4 linked regions of the Drosophila melanogaster genome follow. The protein of the gene in region 1 purifies or fractionates together with the protein of each later gene. This does not show direct contact. Each region holds a gene or a part of one and is shown in the gene's direction. Other genes may lie near its edges.

Evidence for each region.
Region 2: the proteins of Rad23 (region 1) and Rpn9 purify together in Drosophila melanogaster (affinity purification with western blotting, with the first as the bait; one study listed by BioGRID). This does not show direct contact.
Region 3: the proteins of Rad23 (region 1) and Rpt3 purify together in Drosophila melanogaster (affinity purification with western blotting, with the first as the bait; one study listed by BioGRID). This does not show direct contact.
Region 4: the proteins of Rad23 (region 1) and RpS27A purify together in Drosophila melanogaster (affinity purification with western blotting, with the first as the bait; one study listed by BioGRID). This does not show direct contact.

What each region holds. Positions count from the first base shown.
Region 1 is NC_004353.4:306,225-311,381, forward strand, and holds Rad23 (Rad23), read left to right. Parts: upstream 1-1,868; 5' UTR 1,869-1,999; coding exon 2,000-2,065; intron 2,066-2,188; exon of another isoform or gene 2,189-2,206; coding exon 2,207-2,855; intron 2,856-3,314; coding exon 3,315-3,409; intron 3,410-3,469; coding exon 3,470-3,793; intron 3,794-3,854; coding exon 3,855-3,965; 3' UTR 3,966-4,598; downstream 4,599-5,157.
Region 2 is NT_033777.3:23,730,821-23,735,218, reverse strand, and holds Rpn9 (regulatory particle non-ATPase 9), read left to right. Parts: upstream 1-1,756; 5' UTR 1,757-1,967; intron 1,968-2,207; exon of another isoform or gene 2,208-2,308; 5' UTR 2,309-2,313; coding exon 2,314-2,423; intron 2,424-2,478; coding exon 2,479-2,592; intron 2,593-2,645; coding exon 2,646-3,176; intron 3,177-3,237; coding exon 3,238-3,631; 3' UTR 3,632-3,844; downstream 3,845-4,398. Other genes in the region: CG10365 (uncharacterized protein), read right to left, coding at 3,989-4,398.
Region 3 is NC_004354.4:11,123,224-11,127,302, forward strand, and holds Rpt3 (regulatory particle triple-A ATPase 3), read left to right. Parts: upstream 1-1,877; 5' UTR 1,878-2,089; coding exon 2,090-2,125; intron 2,126-2,199; coding exon 2,200-2,283; intron 2,284-2,341; coding exon 2,342-3,463; 3' UTR 3,464-3,562; downstream 3,563-4,079. Other genes in the region: CG11122 (uncharacterized protein), read right to left, coding at 1-375; SrpRalpha (signal recognition particle receptor alpha), read right to left, coding at 3,752-4,079.
Region 4 is NT_033779.5:10,406,614-10,410,991, forward strand, and holds RpS27A (ribosomal protein S27A), read left to right. Parts: upstream 1-1,738; 5' UTR 1,739-1,773; exon of another isoform or gene 1,774-2,008; intron 2,009-2,125; exon of another isoform or gene 2,126-2,153; coding exon of another isoform or gene 2,154-2,933; exon of another isoform or gene 2,934-2,997; intron 2,998-3,097; 5' UTR 3,098-3,117; coding exon 3,118-3,438; intron 3,439-3,627; coding exon 3,628-3,777; 3' UTR 3,778-3,843; downstream 3,844-4,378. Other genes in the region: Ir31a (ionotropic receptor 31a), read left to right, coding at 1-689, 751-1,037, 1,233-1,372, 1,433-1,515; Ip259 (intronic protein 259), read left to right, coding at 2,154-2,933; CG5355 (uncharacterized protein), read right to left, coding at 4,024-4,378.

The sequences.
Region 1 (5,157 bases):
CTTATTTATTATTATTAATTGATAAGTGGAAAAACAATGCATTCGTGTATTTTTTGTATTATTCTTTGCAAATGTCTAATGCACAAGATTATTATTACAATTAAAAATCTTCAACAGCAAATTTTTATTTTTTGTTTTTATGGTATATACAATTATTTAGAATTAACACATTTGTCATTTTTGAAATTGTATCTTTTAAAATTCTCGATATTTACTACATTTAAACACCCCACTGATGATACAGCAATAGTTATCTTAATTTCGAAATTTTCGTTAATCTTATATGAACTCAAATCATATATGTTCACAAGACAGAAGATAAGCATTGATGTATATCTTTTGAAAGGAATACGGTATTACCAAAGACACTAGAATAACAAGATGCGTAACGGCCATACATTGGTTTGCCCAAAGACCCTAGAATAACAAGATGCGTAACGCCATACGATTTTTTGGCACACGATTTTTTGGCCGTGGCTCTAGAGGTGGCTCCAGGCTCTCTCGAATTTTTGTTTGAGAGCGAGAGAGCGAAGAGCGCTACAGCGAACAGCTCTTTTCAACGCACAAAGTGGTAGGAGACATCTGTATGTGTGCACACGTATGCTCATGCATTGTAAATTTGACAAAATATGCCCTTCACCTCAGAAGTTTTTAGACTTTAAATCTATATTATTTTTGATCAATTGGCACCATGCGAAAAATTCTTGTTTTGCATTGCCTTAACGTTATTATTATTTGAAAATATATCAGAAATAGCCAAATCTATGTACATATTATCACAAAAATAAATTTCAAAAATGACTTTATATAAGAATATTTGTCATTAGAGTATTCATCTTGCGGCGTGTGAAAAATTAATAAGGCAATGATTGTTGAGTGCTTGTGTCCGCACTTCGTGCCTCAAGATATGAACAAAGCATTAGAATTATTCTAGTATATTACTTTGATATTACTTTTGCAATAAACAGTTATCATATTTAATTATTTAGTATATTTATTAAATCATTTGACTTAATATGATGTAACATTAACATTAAAAGTGTTTTAAAAAAATAATTTCTCTTTTAAAAAATTGTCAGATGAGAGACAAATTAGAATTAAACATAAATATAAATGTGTAAACGGTAGCTAATTCGAGCGGCGATTTTAACAAACAAATTTAAAAAGCTTTAAAATTATAATAGTCAGGGCGCGAATTTTTAAAAATTTTTTTATTTTATCATATTGCTAGGAAATTGGCAAAAACTACCCTAATATGTACCATGTAAATTCGTTTCTTCGATCAGAATTGATTTCGGCCCGAAAATCGTCTTCTAGCACAACACGCACACTTATACGCGTTCTCGTCTCTTGTTTTTACTCACACAAGCAATCAAATTATATTTTTAGATTTCTTACGCTCTCAGCGGGAGTGAGCGGAAAGAGAGTAATTTTGGCAGTCACCAAAGAAGTGGCTGCATAGTGCCAAACCAATGTATGGCCGTTACGCATCTTGTTATTCTAGTGTCTTTGGTTAAACTAAAGTATTTTTAAAGAAATACCGAACTACTTAAACGGAATTAAAAATTAAATTTCTTTGAAATTTATTGATCATCAACCGATGGTATATTATAAATAGACTTATATACTACAGGTATAACCTGTATATAGTATGATCTAAATCGTTGATATAATGAAATACTAACTACAGTCAAACCACGGACAATTGTTTATTTGTTACGTTCATTATGACTTCAATATTTCATATTTCATTATAAATTTCATTACAAATCTTTACATCTTTCTTGATGTGTGAAAATGTTATAAGGACTATTGAACTCTTTGGTTTGTGCTGCGATTTTGTGTCTTTTAAGCGAGAAGGTATAATTTGCCAGTCCATGTGCGGTCACACTGATGACAAATCGTTTTTATCAAGCGATATTGGGAACTAACTTTCGAGTTTGCATATGTGTATGCATATGTATATTTAATTAAGTTTTGGTTTTGTCTGATACACAAGATGATTATTACAATTAAAAATCTTCAACAGCAAACTTTTACTATTGAGTTTGCCCCGGAAAAAACGGTATGTGTACAAATAGTCAAATACTAGTATATTCACATGTATGGTATATACAATTATTGCAAATGCATATGTGTGCTTATACAGGTATTTCTTACAATTAATTTGTTGTACCATAATAAGCAGGGATTCTGATTACAAAAGGTTTTGGAACTGAAGAAGAAAATATTCGAGGAGCGCGGTCCAGAGTACGTCGCCGAAAAACAAAAACTGATCTACGCTGGCGTCATATTGACGGATGACCGCACCGTTGGTTCATACAACGTTGATGAAAAAAAGTTCATTGTGGTAATGTTGACACGCGATTCGTCTAGTTCAAATCGTAATCAACTTAGTGTAAAAGAAAGTAATAAATTGACTAGCACCGACGATTCAAAGCAATCTATGCCTTGCGAAGAAGCCAACCATACCAATTCGCCTAGTTCCACAAATACAGAAGATTCAGTTTTATCACGTGAAACCAGACCTTTATCTAGTGACGAATTGATTGGCGAGTTGGCCCAGGCTTCCTTACAATCGCGCGCTGAATCTAATTTGCTTATGGGTGACGAATACAACCAAACAGTCCTATCAATGGTGGAAATGGGTTACCCAAGAGAGCAGGTTGAACGTGCGATGGCTGCTAGTTATAACAACCCGGAAAGAGCCGTTGAATATCTCATTAATGGCATACCTGCAGAGGAAGGTACTTTTTACAATAGGCTGAATGAATCAACGAATCCTAGTCTAATCCCCTCCGGACCGCAACCTGCGTCGGCAACCTCTGCCGAGCGTTCAACAGAATCAAATTCAGGTAACTTGATGGGATTTCAATCAGCAGTCAATTTATGTATTCTTGTATGAAACGAAAATATATAATTTCTACCCAGAAGTACTAAATTTGCACACTTCAAAACATAGTGAAATTAATAAACCCGATTTGGCTCTCGCTCTTTAATGAAATTATACGGCCTTAACATAATTGCGTTAGTTTTCCTGGTCAAGAAATATTGTTGATCAAAACTTATGTTGCACATTCGTTAATAAATAATAAAAGAGTTCTCTTAGTACTGGAAATATATGCAGCTGTTAAAGATTCACTAAAATGTTTGTGAGCTCGTTGTCCCGCAGTATCATTTACATATATATGTCAACAGACACTAAAGGAGCGATAATTCACGAATTTTTGTCACTATTCTCTTCAAGGACAGGGCATCACTATATGTTTTTAGTTAATTTAATTATTATTTAATTATTTATATTTACGTTTCAGACCCCTTTGAATTTTTACGTAGCCAGCCACAGTTTCTTCAAATGCGATCTTTAATTTATCAAAACCCTCATCTTTTGCATGCAGTATTGCAGCAGGTAAGTACACTTATAATAATAATTACATGACACGTAAATGATAATTTTTTTTACGTATAGATTGGTCAGACAAACCCAGCCCTTTTACAACTTATTTCGGAGAACCAAGATGCGTTTCTCAATATGCTTAATCAACCGATTGACCGCGAATCGGAGTCAGGCGCCACCGTTCCTCCCGTTTCGAATGCGCGGATTCCTTCAACTTTGGACAATGTTGACCTCTTTTCTCCAGATTTAGAAGTAGCTACTTCAGCACAAAGATCAGCCGCGGGTACAAGTGCAGCACATCAAAGCGGTAGCGCAGCGGATAACGAAGACTTGGAACAACCTTTAGGAGTATCAACCATTCGTTTAAATCGCCAAGATAAGGACGCAATAGAACGGGTATATAGGAGTGAATAATTATATATGGACTGTCGAGTTACTTAATATATTCTTCTTCTAGCTAAAAGCTCTTGGATTCCCAGAGGCCCTTGTACTGCAAGCGTACTTCGCTTGTGAAAAGAACGAGGAACAAGCAGCTAATTTTTTGCTATCGTCTAGCTTCGATGATTAGGATGACAAAATGTAAGAAGTTATGCAAATAACACCGGAAGCGTTACATTTAAAGTTAGATGTTCTTAAATTAAATGTAAAATGTCGATCATAAAAATTCTTTTATATTCTTTTAATACCGTCGGCGTATTGTACTTGTTATTTGTTAAAAATTGCAGCCATGGGTAAAATAGAGTTACGATGTCATTTTTACTAAATATTTCACCACGACATTGTCTTCAGCATAAGACTGCAAATGTCTACAAATTTATCTGTGCCAATCCATGGTAGGGAGGCCTTGGATTAGGCCTTCACCTAATGGATGGCAAAGTATATTTCTAGTGTGTGTATTTCTAGTGTATATGCAATACACACATTAATTATTTTAAGGTCGTATTAAGCTAAAGAAGTCTTATGATTTATTCTTTCCTTATCTTGGTTGATTTATAAAATATTTTTTTGACTAGTGGGAGTCCACAATTAAGTCACTTAACACATAAAGTACTTTTTGTCGTCCTGGATGTTGGACATATGACTAAAATATATTAATCATTGTATTACATAAATTTCGTGTTTTTTTATTGTAAATAATGTCCGCAATTATGCCCTAATAAGCTGTGGCGTCTCTTTGGTGATTCCTTTCAGGATGAGTCGGAGAAATAAAACAATTTCATTAATTGCATGACATTCATAACAATTCTATAGTCGAGTGCCTCGACTATCAGATACCCTTTACTCACGAAAAAACTAATTAAAATTTTTATAAATATTTTTTATTGCTTATTTTTACAGGAATAAATGTTCTCCAGTTTTACAGTACTTAGATTATCATTAATTTACAAATATACAAAACTGTAGAACATTTGGACTTATGATACTTTTCTGCTTGCCAATTAATACGACAAATATAAAACTCGAACATTGTAATATGCATTATTAATGCAAAGAATTCTACACTTTAATATTAATAAATCTCTAATAGTTTCATGTATGGCTATGGTCCCCTCTATAATGTTGCTACAATTATAAATCTTTCCTGACTCAATGTAGATTCAAAGACACAAGAATTATTGGTAGATTTGGTAGAACGCAGGTAAGTGGAAAGAGAAGCACTCGTTAATACTTCTTTCCTTGACACGTTCCAGAACTTTAGACTGGGTCGAATTAACTTTATAAACATGGGCATACCCACCGGACCACAAATAACGTTATTC
Region 2 (4,398 bases), on another chromosome or scaffold:
ATTTGTGCACCTCTTGAATGACGCATGAATGAGCTGCCTTGCAGGGTGATCTATCTATTTAACTATTGACATTGACGAGAAGACTGCAGTTGCTATAATTTCGATCGCGGCTGCCTGCCCAAGAGCTTGGCACAAAAATCGAATATGAACATGCGAGAAACCAAGCCGAACCCAACTCTTTCGCAACTCGGGGCAACTGGATTGGCCTGTAATTGAATAATATTACTACTTGGCTGCAGCAGCAACAAAAAGTGAGCAACAAAATACAAAAAAAAAAAAAAAAAACAAGGAAGCGGCAATGCACTTGACAAAGCTGCTTCACTTGTTGCAGCAGTTTTATGGTTTATGTTTTTTCTACATCTTTTTCTTTTGCTTTTGTTTGGTTTTTGTGGCCACTGCATCGGCGGCGACTGTGTGGCATTTTTCACTTTTGCTTTTAATAGCCAGATGCTGTTGCTGTCTGTCGTCTGGGACGGAGATGAAGATGAAGTCGTCATCCGACGGCGTTTTTTTTTTCGGAATTTGTTTTGGATTTTTGAAATTGCCGCTCTTCACATAACCGTAATACGCCTTCAGCCGGTTTTCATATATACCATACATATCCATATATATATATATTATAGTTGTGCATCGTTTCTGTCGCTGCCAGATGTCGCCCATTTCGATTTTGGTAAATTGGTAAAGTGGGGAACAGGCCAAGGAAATCAACTGCTACATCGAGAAAGTAGTAGTACTTTCTTTCTACCAAAAACGCACAGTGGCGTCAGGAAATGAAAAGAAATGTTGACAGCGCAGCAGGATGTTACAGTAAACTCTGGCCGATTTGGTTCAAGTGTTTTTTTTACTGCGAAGGACGCACAAAATAGGCGACATCTGTGCAATATTACTCAAAAAGAAGGCATTTACATACTGTAAAATGCAGTACAATTCGGTTGATATATTTCGTTTATGTACAAATCCATACAAATGTTGAATCTTCCAATTCAATAGCTTTTTGAGTTCCAAATTCTCTATCAGCTCGAAAGTAATTTAATTATCGTTTCTTTACCCAACGCTCCTGTGCTCAAGTGGCTTTTGCTTTTCAAAGAGAAAGTTGTCCAACACCCATTGCAAGCCAAGAACTTTTAATAGACGGCGGCGACGTGGTGCCCACTGAGTGATAAGATTGGGGAGCCCCAATTGCATAACTGTCTACTAACCAAATAGTGGGATACAATGTACAACCAATTATGCAGTTCTCAATGGAACGCGATCGTATCCAATGGGAACCGCTGGCCCAATCAGTAGGGCCATGCTGCTTGGAATTTCGAAGCCAAAAGGGGGAACCTCGTCGGGCAGAGTAGTGACCCCCAAAAAGTCGAAAATAGAACCCAGAACTAACCTTGCTTTTCGACGAGGAATCGATCGTTTGCTTGGAGATCGGTGACAAATAGTTGACACGCGCCTTAATCCACAAAAGAAATGCTAATGAGGATCTCTTTTGGCGGAGTGCGGTTTCCAGTTGGAGCGGTCGTTGTGGTCGCTAACTAGTTCTTCTCAGTTTGTCAACTTTCTGCGAACAAATCCACATAGTTTCTTGCACGACGCGTTGTTTGGCTTACATTTATATAACCACTAATTGCGGCACTTTCGTTCGCGAAATTCGATTGCTACTTTATTTGGCTAACAAATAGTTAAATGTGCAAAACACACGACAGCTTTACTTTTTTTTAGTTAGTTCAGGGCGCACACTCGAGTTGTTGTATTTGGTTTTGTTGGCAGTGCTGCTGTGGCCCGGTTAAATATCGATATTCTCGCGGATCGGGCTAACTGGCTAATTGGCTGCGCGGCGACTCTCTGCCAAGTGGAATCCTGGAGTGCGGAAATATAAACTGTTTCGCTGCGAGCTCCAAAACGAATTGAAACGTTGTTTCTTCCGCGTACACAACTTCACGCAGAAACAGCTGTTCGGTTAGTGTGACCAGACGGTGAGTACAACGTAAGCCCAAGCCCCGCAGCTGTTGTTATCGAATGAGTCATCGAGTAGTTTCTAGGCACTGAAATAATATCATAAATAATGCTTTCCATGTGATATAAAAATAAAAAATACAGCCATTTGTTATTATGTAAGCCTTTTTTAGTTCATAAATAAATTTTACATAAAAATTCGCCCAAAAATACAAAATACCAAAATAAGCTAAAAAAAAACAAACGGCCACACAAGCGATCTGTCAATGTGACAGCTGCGTCGGCGATTGTGATTTGCAATTTTTGTAGTTTGGGAATACATTAAACATTACATTTGAAATTAATTCAACACAAAGCGCAGTTGCGATGTCCAATCCTCAGCCTAATGTCACCGCCTATCTGGCGACCCAGAAGAAGACCACCAACAAAGAACTCGCCGCCGAATGGACGCTCATCGAGGAGCTCTACAATGAAAAGTTAGATCTGGGCTTTAAATTTCAATTTTCCTCTTGTAATACAATTATTTTACAGACTCTGGAATGAGCTGACCATCAAACTGGTGACCTTTGTGCGCCACGAATCCTTGCAGGACGAAACTGCGCTGCTGCAGCTCTACCAGAATTTCCTGTCCACCTTCGAGACCAAGTGAGTCGGCTTCTGCAAATGACTCGGCAGAATCTAATGTATTGTATTTGCAGAATAAACCCCTATGGCCTCATCCAGATTCTCGAGGTGGTGGTTGACAACATCGGTGACAAGAAGGAGGCCATCGAGTTCTTGGAGAAGATGAAGGACAAGGTGAAGATCTGCGACGAGGCCGTTTGGTATCTGCAGGTGATGCAGGGTAATCTGTACCTCAGCAACCTGAACGATCTGAATGCCACCAAGAAGATCATCGAGGAACTGCGTGATGTCCTAGAGGAAGCGGGTAATGTGACGCCCGTTCACGGCAAATACTACATGCTGGCATCCCAGTATTATCGGCGAGTGGGCAAGCACAGCGATTACTACCGATGTGGCCTACAGTTTCTGGGCTGCTCCATGGATGAGTACCCCCGTGATCAATGGGCCCAGCAGGCATTCTTCTTGGGTCTGGCTGCTCTCTTGGGCGATGGTGTCTACAACATAGGCGAATTGCTGGCTCATCCCATTCTTGAGTCGCTTAAGGGCACGGAAAATGAGTGGCTCATGGAACTTCTTAAAGCCTTCAACACGGGCGATATTAACAAGTGTGTAGTAATAGCAATTTAATATCTGCAGTAACTAACACTTTCTATTATTCCTTTGCAGGTTTAATGACATGAAGAAAATCTGGTCCAAGATTCCCGATTTGGCTGCCCAGGAGGTCAAGTTGCGCCAGAAGATCTCCCTCCTTTGCCTCATGGAGATGACCTTCAAGCGCTCAGCCATCGAGCGAGCCATCTCCTTTACCGACATCGCGCAAGAGACCAAACTGCCCGCCAAGGAAGTGGAACTGCTTATCATGAAGGCTCTGGCTTTGGATCTCGTCCGCGGCGAGATTGACCAAGTGGCTGGAGTGGTTAACATGTCGTGGGTGCAACCACGCGTCCTCAACCGCAGCCAGATTGTCGGCATGGCCAGCACTCTGGACACATGGATGGGCGCCATCACGAACATGGAGAAACTGATGGAGAATCGTGCCGCCGAAATCCTCACCAATTAGTTTTAGTTTCGCCTGATCTAGACGATCCCACATATTCACATTTTGCGCGAATGCTTTTGTATTTAATTAAAAACCCAAATACTGTATTCATTTCTTTTCATATGTAATTTAACTCCCTGACAGTTGCGTGTAAAAAGTTTTTTTGTGCTTAATCCTAGCTTATTGGCTAAATCAGATCACTTATGGAGGAGTTGCTGCTTATGATTAGGCCTAGGATTATTTACAATTTAAAGAAATACGTCAAATTTGGCAATAGACTCTGGTTACCTAACAAGCTAAAATGTCGATCAATAATTTGGAATTTGCTGTAGCAAAAAACGCGACCTGCATAGCACTTGGCCGCCAGCACACCAGAAATCAAATGTTCAGGCAACGCAGCTTGGTGTCGGGCACACGGGAGGTGAACTCGAAGGATGGCGGGCGGCGGATGTCCTCGTGCGAGTCGCGGCGTATCCTATCTGGATTGCGGCCCATCACAGATGACAGAGGTATTTGGCGGCGGTACAGTTCCTCTAAAACCAATTGCTCCAGCTCGAACAGATGATCGTCCCTCACGCCGGGAATCTCCTCGTGCATGAACAGGGCCAGGCGCAACAGGTACTCGGCATTGTGTCCGCTGGGACCGCGGCAGGATACGATCTGCTGGGCAATCTCCTCGACCGGGTCATCGCCCAACCAATAGATATTCTCTGGCGTCGCCACATAGACCAGTACCTCGACCGCCTCGCCGCTGAAGGGCGTGTCCTGCGAGGCGACGCGCGGGAAGA
Region 3 (4,079 bases), on another chromosome or scaffold:
GACCTTCGAGTGCGCGGCTCCACCCAGGCCGGCGGCCTCTTCCCGCTCGCGCTCGCGCTCCCTCTCCCGTTCTCGTTCCCGTTCCTCCGTCATCTGATGCAGCTTCTCCACCAAACGGGGCAGCCGCTCCAGCGGCAGGCTGCAGATCAGCGAGAGCGGCTCTTGTTCCGCTTCCAGCTGATCCTCGTGCGGTTCCACCTCTTCCTGTTCCGCGTCCACATCCTCCTCCTGCCGGGTCTGTCGTTTTTTGCGCGGATTAGATGAGGCAGCGGCCGTGGCTGGTGCCGTTGCCGGTCCAATTGGATTCTTGCCGTTGACCTGCTCCTCCGAGAACTTGAAGCCACGGCGCAGGCCGAAGCGCGACATGGTCTTCATGTGGAGGCCACTGGGTCGTCCGTGGTTGCGTTGCACAAGTTAACTGCTTCGCCACTCCTGCAAGCAGTGCGGGGTGTGCGGACAACAATTTACTGCTGCACGCACACTGCTTCGTTCTTCCTTCTTCTTTTTGTTGACAAATAAACCGCAAGAAGAAGCAGCGAAAAACAAAAACTACTCACACACACGTACGCACACACACTCGCACGCACACCTGCTCAATTGGAAATTATACAATAAACATTTTCAACTCCTCGAATTGATCTCGCTCTGTTATCGGACACTATTGTTTTGGCCAACAGCTATATATAGCATAACTACCACTCCACTGCACAAGACCACACTGTCCACTTGGATATCCCGACTTGGTCTCTCCTGCGTATCTAAATACGTTTCGTTTTGTTTCGTTCTATTCGTTTTGTTCTGTGTTTCGGTTCGTTGTATTGCACTGTATTCCGGGATTTCACGGGATTGCTTTCCGTTTTGTTGTTTTGTTTCTTGTTTTTTTCTTGTATATTTTGTTCTTTTCGCTTGGATACGGACCAGACCAGGAGCGCCAACGGATCCGTATCAGTGCCTTGCACTTAAATTTAAGCACGGCATTGCAGCAGCTCGACCACCAGTGTAGCGCATTCAATTTTCCCTGGCCGTTCTTTCCACCCTAACAACTGCGTTAGGAGGTATCTAACGTTTAGCCCAAATCGATGCGTGCGTACGGCGCAGAGGGGGCGGCGGCGCGGCCAGAGGGGGCGGGGCACGGCAGCAGGACAACGACGACAACGACAACGATACTTTGTGGGAAACGTACTCGGAATCGGAATCGGAATCGTACTCGTACCCGTTCTCTTTCCCGTTCTGATGCTAGCGATATTGGGGAAACGATTTTTCGGCGACGGCGGCGGCATTATCAGCCATCGAATTGTGCTATATAAACAGCAAATTCGATTTCACTGTCCTACCAGCGCTCGTGTGTGTATATATTTGGTTCGTTCGCACACGCACACATAGCACACACAGAAGCAGCAGGAGCGACCGAAATGTTAAATGTGTGTGTTTTTCTACTCTTTTTTTTTCTTATGGGAAATCGAAATCGCGTCAAAATGGTCGGGTTTTGCCAGTGTGTACACACTTGTACCCGCTGGCGAGAAAGGTACTCGAACTATCGATAGTTGCGTCTCGAGCAGCGATACTTTGGCATGGTTCTACGTGAATTGCTTAGAATAACTTGCGATTTTATCAATTACTTATAAGCGATCTGCATTCGAAATAGTTTTTGTTAGTAATAAATCTGTTATCAGCTTTTGTTCCAATCAGAGCTGGTATATATCGGGCAATTATCAGACAGCTGATTTTTTCCCATCACCAGATGCTTTGAAACGTATTAAAAAATACTTTCCGGATATTAAGTGAGAAACATGACATGTGATATTAGATTTATTTGTATACAACATTTTAGCTTTACAGACTAACTGGTATAGGATATTGTCCAATAAAGAGGAGTTGCTTTCTTATCAGAAAGAGTATATATCGAAAAAAAAAACCGATTGAAAGAGCAGCACAATTTGATAGATAAATGGCCCCATCGATAGATCACAATCGATTGCGGACAGGGTTGCCACCACAACGCACTGCTGGCTTGTTTTTGACGAGTCATTTTGGTCGCCTCGCAGAAAACGCAAACTAATAAAACGAGACTCATTGCTGAACGAAAAGAATGCCGTACAACATGGACGTACTGATACCGGAAAAGGTGCGTAGTTGCCTCTCTGCGCCGCCTGGCATGCGTACTAATTACCTCTTTCCCAATTCCACTTTTTCCACCAGGACGAGCTCTCCGACTTGAAGCTAAAAGATGCGCACAGTTCCCTGGACGAACTGGACATGGAGGATCTCTACGTGCGTTACAAGGTGAGTCGTCCACTGGTCTTCCATTTGATCACCCATCTAAGCGGCCATTGTGTTGTAGAAACTGCAAAAGACACTGGAGTTCATTGAAGTGCAGGAGGAGTACATCAAGGACGAGCAGCGAAACCTGAAAAAGGAGTATCTGCACGCCCAGGAGGAGGTGAAGCGCATCCAGTCGGTGCCGCTGGTGATTGGCCAGTTCCTGGAGGCCGTCGATCAGAACACGGGCATTGTGGGCTCCACCACCGGCTCCAATTACTATGTGCGCATCCTGTCCACCATCGATCGCGAGCTGCTGAAGCCCTCCGCCTCGGTGGCCCTGCACAAGCACAGCAACGCGCTGGTGGACGTGCTGCCACCAGAGGCGGATAGCTCCATTTCGATGCTGCAGCCGGATGAGAAGCCCGACGTTAGCTATGCGGACATTGGTGGCATGGACATGCAGAAGCAGGAGATCCGCGAGGCAGTCGAACTGCCGCTGACCCACTTCGAGCTGTACAAGCAGATTGGCATCGATCCGCCGCGCGGCGTGCTTATGTACGGTCCGCCCGGTTGCGGCAAGACCATGTTGGCCAAGGCGGTGGCCCATCATACGACGGCGTCGTTCATACGCGTCGTCGGCTCGGAGTTCGTGCAGAAGTACCTCGGCGAGGGACCGCGCATGGTGCGCGACGTTTTCAGGCTGGCCAAGGAGAACGCGCCGGCCATCATCTTCATTGACGAGATCGATGCGATTGCCACGAAGCGTTTCGATGCGCAGACTGGCGCCGATCGCGAGGTGCAGCGCATTCTGCTCGAGCTGCTCAACCAGATGGACGGGTTCGATCAGACCACGAACGTTAAGGTGATCATGGCTACCAACAGGGCGGACACACTCGATCCGGCATTGCTGCGACCTGGTCGATTGGATCGTAAGATTGAGTTCCCGCTGCCCGATCGCCGGCAGAAGCGACTCGTCTTCTCCACCATCACCTCGAAGATGAACCTAAGCGAGGATGTCGATTTGGAGGAGTTTGTGGCGCGGCCGGACAAGATCTCCGGTGCCGATATCAACGCCATTTGCCAAGAGGCGGGCATGCACGCGGTGCGTGAGAATCGCTACATCGTTTTGGCCAAGGACTTCGAGAAGGGCTACAAGAACAATATCAAGAAGGACGAGCAGGAGCACGAGTTCTACAAATAGATTATATTAATTCATACACACTACTCCCGCCCCATTTTTTCCCCCAACACACTAAACTCTTCTTTGTACGCATAAAGTTATAAACATTAATAAAAAAATAAAAAAAAACAAAACAACTTGTAATCGAAGTGCCAAGCGATCCTTAATCCTAAACGAACCAACAGCCAACAGTGGGCAAAGCATTCCATTTACGCAACAACAAACTAGACAAAAGCCATATATTTGATTCGGTGAAAAGAGTGGATGCAAACAAGGAGCATTGGAAGGATAGCCGGATCGACGGCTGGCTTACTTCATCAGGGAATTGACCACGGCGTTCACATTGATGGCCTTTAGGTCGGCATACGTCTGACCCGTGCCCACGAACACAATTGGCTGGCCGGTTATGTAGGTCATGGAGATGGCGGCGCCCACCTTGTCATCGATGGTATCGAACTTGGTCAACACTATGCCGTCGATGATGTGCGGGTTCTCGTTGGATGAGTAGTCGGCCAGCGACTGATTGAACTTGACCAGCTGGTCGACGGCTTCGTTGCCCACCAGTGCCTCGCCCACGAATAGCACCAGATCCGGATTGTTCACTTTGATTAGCTTGGACAGGGAACGCATCAGCGGC
Region 4 (4,378 bases), on another chromosome or scaffold:
TGAGAGAACGTTTCAATTTCACTGTTAACTTCCGAAATTCTAGAGGATGGGCTGGACGTTTGGGCAATACTACCTTTCGACTTGGACTCTTGGGAATAGTTATGCGAAATGAGGCAGATATAGCCGCATCCGGTGCCTTCAATCGAATTAATCGCTTTGCTGAGTTTGATACCATACACCAAAGTTGGAAATTTGAGACAGCTTTTCTATACCGCTACACTTCCGATTTGGATACTCATGGAAAAAGTGGTAACTTTCTGTCGCCATTCAGCGACAGAGTTTGGTTGTTCTGTCTATTAACCCTTGGTGCTTTTAGCATCATTTGGGTGCTATTTGAAATTATCGACTACAAGATATTGCGTATACGAGTTAATAGTCAAAAGCTGGAACATTTAAATCAGAAAAGTTCGGTGATTTGCATTAAGACCACATGCATTGAACGAATTTTACAGACATTTGGAGCCTGCTGCCAACAGGGATTGGACCCAAATCCTGTAGATCGTTCAGTGCGCTTTTTGGTAATGACACTGTTCCTATTCTCCCTGGTTATGTACAACTATTATACGTCTTCCGTCGTGGGCGGATTGCTTAGTTCTTCAGATCAGGGTCCCTCTACAGTCGACGAAATAACTGCAAGCCCCTTGAAAATATCATTCGAAGACATTGGTTACTACAAAGTCTTATTCCGAGTAAGTTCGTTGAAAACATTATATGTATATTTATATTACCATTACTCGATTTACTTAACAGGAGAGTCAAAATCGATCTATTACAAGATTAATAGAGAAAAAGCTGTCTTCGTCAAGAAGTTTAAATGAATTGCCAATTTTTAGCCATATTGAGGATGCTGTCCCATATCTCAAAGCCGGCGGATTTGCTTTTCATTGCGAAGTGGTGGACGCTTATCCGGTGATTTCAGAATATTTTGATGCCAACGAGATCTGTGATCTGCGTGAAGTCTCCGGTCTGATGGAGGTCGAAATTTTGAATTGGATTTTACACAAGAACAGCCAGTATACCGAGATTTTCAAAACAGCGTAAGTATTGAGTCATTCGCATGGTTTTGGTTTGATTCTGTCTTTGCTTAACTGGCCAAAAAGAACTGTTTTTTTTTAACCCGGTCTTATTCCACATCAGTATATTTCCCAAACATTCCTTGGGAAGTAAGATAGTTTTATAATTATTTTATAATAGTTATATAATTGTAATAAACTCTATATTTTCTTTTGTAGTATGTGTAATGCCCAGGAAAAAGGTTTTGTAGAGCGCATTCTTCGACGGCGGCAAATTAAAAAGCCAGCCTGTCAATCATTATACACCGTTTACCCTGTAAGCTTGTCAGGAGTGCTACCTGGATTTGTTATTTTAATTTGTAAGAGTATTAACAAATTTTCCTAGAACTTAAATTTGTATACATGTTTTTATTTAATAGGCGGATTTGGAGCATCGCTTCTACTTTTGTGCTTGGAAAAAGTATATGCACATTTTGGACCACGAAAATTTTGCGGTTTTTAAATTTTTATTTTGTGTTTCCTTTATGATGATTTTTTTGATTTGTTTTATTTTATAATTTTTGTAATAAGGAAAAGTGTATTGGATATGGCTTCTGGTTCATCCCAGTTTATGTTCCATTCCACGCGTTCCAAAAATAAACGCGTAGTTCAAAATATAAACAAAAGTAAACTCCGAATGCAGCCCTGTGCTCAATTTTTCAACTTCCTGTCACGCTGTGTGTGTGTTCTTTCTTTCCTTTGATTCTGTTGCCGAAGCAAGGTAAGTTTTTGGGGTTGTTACATTTTAAGCATCGGTTAAGTGAAAATAAACATACAAATACATACTTAAAGTAGTCCTTAACACTTGTAAACTCTTACGAGTGAAATACATGACAATTGTTGATTGAACAATGAGAATGATTGCAGTGCACATGTAAAATTGACAAGCAATCAAAATTGCTAAAAGATACCCGTGAACAAAAAAAATATTGTGACATTTAAATTTATACATTAAGGTAAGTGAATTTCCGCGTGATTAGTTATCTGTGGATGGCCACAGAGGCTTCCCCAGGAAACAAATTTCGCACACCCCCAACCGTCCACATGTTAATAACCACATGAATGTATTTCAGATCTGGTCTACAGAATTAACAATTAACAATGCCGCAGAATGAGTATATGGAACGCCATCGCAAGCTGTATGGCCGGCGATTGGATTACGAGGAACGGAAACGCAAGAAGGAAGCGCGTCTTCCCAAGGACCGAGCACGAAAGGCTCGCAAGTTGCGCGGCATCAAGGCCAAACTCTTTAATAAGGAGCGACGCAATGAAAAGATTCAGATTAAGAAGAAGATCCAGGCCCACGAAGAGAAGAAGGTCAAAAAGCAGGAGGAGAAGGTCGAGGATGGAGCCCTGCCGCATTATCTGCTCGACAGAGGCATCCAGTCCAGCGCCAAGGTCCTGTCCAATATGATCAAGCAGAAGCGCAAGGAGAAGGCAGGCAAGTGGGACGTGCCCATTCCCAAAGTACGCGCTCAGTCAGATGCTGAGGTCTTCAAAGTACTAAAGACCGGAAAGACAAAGCGAAAGGCATGGAAGCGCATGGTCACAAAAGTCACATTCGTCGGTGAGAACTTCACACGCAAGCCACCAAAGTTCGAGCGTTTCATTCGACCCATGGGTCTGCGCATGAAGAAGGCTCACGTTACGCATCCAGAACTGAAAGCCACCTTCAATCTGCCCATCATTGGCGTCAAGAAGAACCCCAGCTCGCCCATGTTCACTTCCTTGGGTGTAATTACAAAGGGTACTGTGATCGAAGTCAACATCTCTGAGCTGGGTTTGGTAACGCAAACGGGAAAAGTTGTCTGGGGCAAATACGCTCAGGTCACGAACAATCCAGAAAACGATGGTGTTATCAATGCAGTGCTGCTTGTCTAACCCCGAAAATGTCGCTACCTAATTTAAGAGTTTGATTTAATAAACAAACATATACAATAACATGAACAATCGTTTGATTCTCTTAGCTTATTATACTATTAGCTGTAGCAATGCCATATATATAAACACACATATCTATACCAACATCTTTTTGTTTCTTGCAGTTTGGTGACTGGAATACAAGATGCAGATCTTCGTTAAGACCCTCACGGGCAAGACCATCACTCTTGAGGTCGAACCGTCGGATACTATCGAAAATGTCAAAGCCAAGATTCAGGACAAAGAAGGAATTCCTCCAGATCAGCAGCGTCTGATCTTCGCTGGCAAGCAGCTGGAAGATGGCCGCACCCTCTCTGACTATAACATTCAGAAGGAGTCCACTTTGCACTTGGTGCTCCGCCTGCGTGGTGGTGCCAAGAAGCGCAAGAAGAAGAACTACTCCACTCCCAAGAAAATCAAGCACAAGAGGAAGAAGGTCAAGCTAGCTGTCCTGAAATACTACAAGGTACACACAACAATCTACCGACACCATACCGAAAACATTCTGATCTGTTCTTGGAATTCTTGAGTCTTGGTCTTGTGCTCATTGGCTTAAGATTTGGATATCAGAGTGACTTTACCAGTGCCCTATATTGAATGAACATGTGTACGATCTCAGTATTTAATCACTTTCTATGCTCTTTCCTTTCCATAGGTTGACGAGAACGGCAAGATCCACCGTCTCCGTCGCGAGTGCCCTGGTGAGAACTGCGGCGCCGGCGTCTTCATGGCTGCCCACGAAGATCGTCACTACTGCGGCAAGTGCAACCTGACCTTTGTCTTCAGCAAACCAGAGGAAAAGTAATTTTGCTACATAAGATCATGTACGTTTCCAGAAATCAAATAAAGGTAGTAATTGAATAATAAATTCAATCGCTGAAATTTTCCTTTTTTTTTATTGTTAGTTAGCACTAGCGTGGTTAGTAATTGTTTAGCAAAACACTAAAGTTTCATTTAGGGTGTATGGTTTATTTGTGAAAATATTGAATACATTTTGTATACTCGATTTTTACTCGACCTTGAGAAATGCAATTTGTTTATGGTTAACCACTCAAACGTTAACTATGTCGACGTTAAGGCTTTTGGACAAGAAAGTCAGTATATCGGTGGCTTCCTCGATTCTCTTCGATGTCGGCTTGCCAGCGCCATGGCCCGCCTTCTGGTAGACGCGCAACAGAACGGGATTTTTCTGGAATTCCGAGTCGCGAACAGCTTCCTGGAGGGCCGCAATGAACTTGAGCGAATGCAAAGGGCTGACACGATCGTCGTGGTCGGCGGTCAGGATCAAAGTCGATGGGTATTCCGTTTCGGCGCCCTTCGGAGTGTGCACATTATGCAGCGGCGAGAACTTGTACAGGTTGTCAAAGTGCTCCTTCTCCGATGGGTTTCCATAATCCGAGCACCAA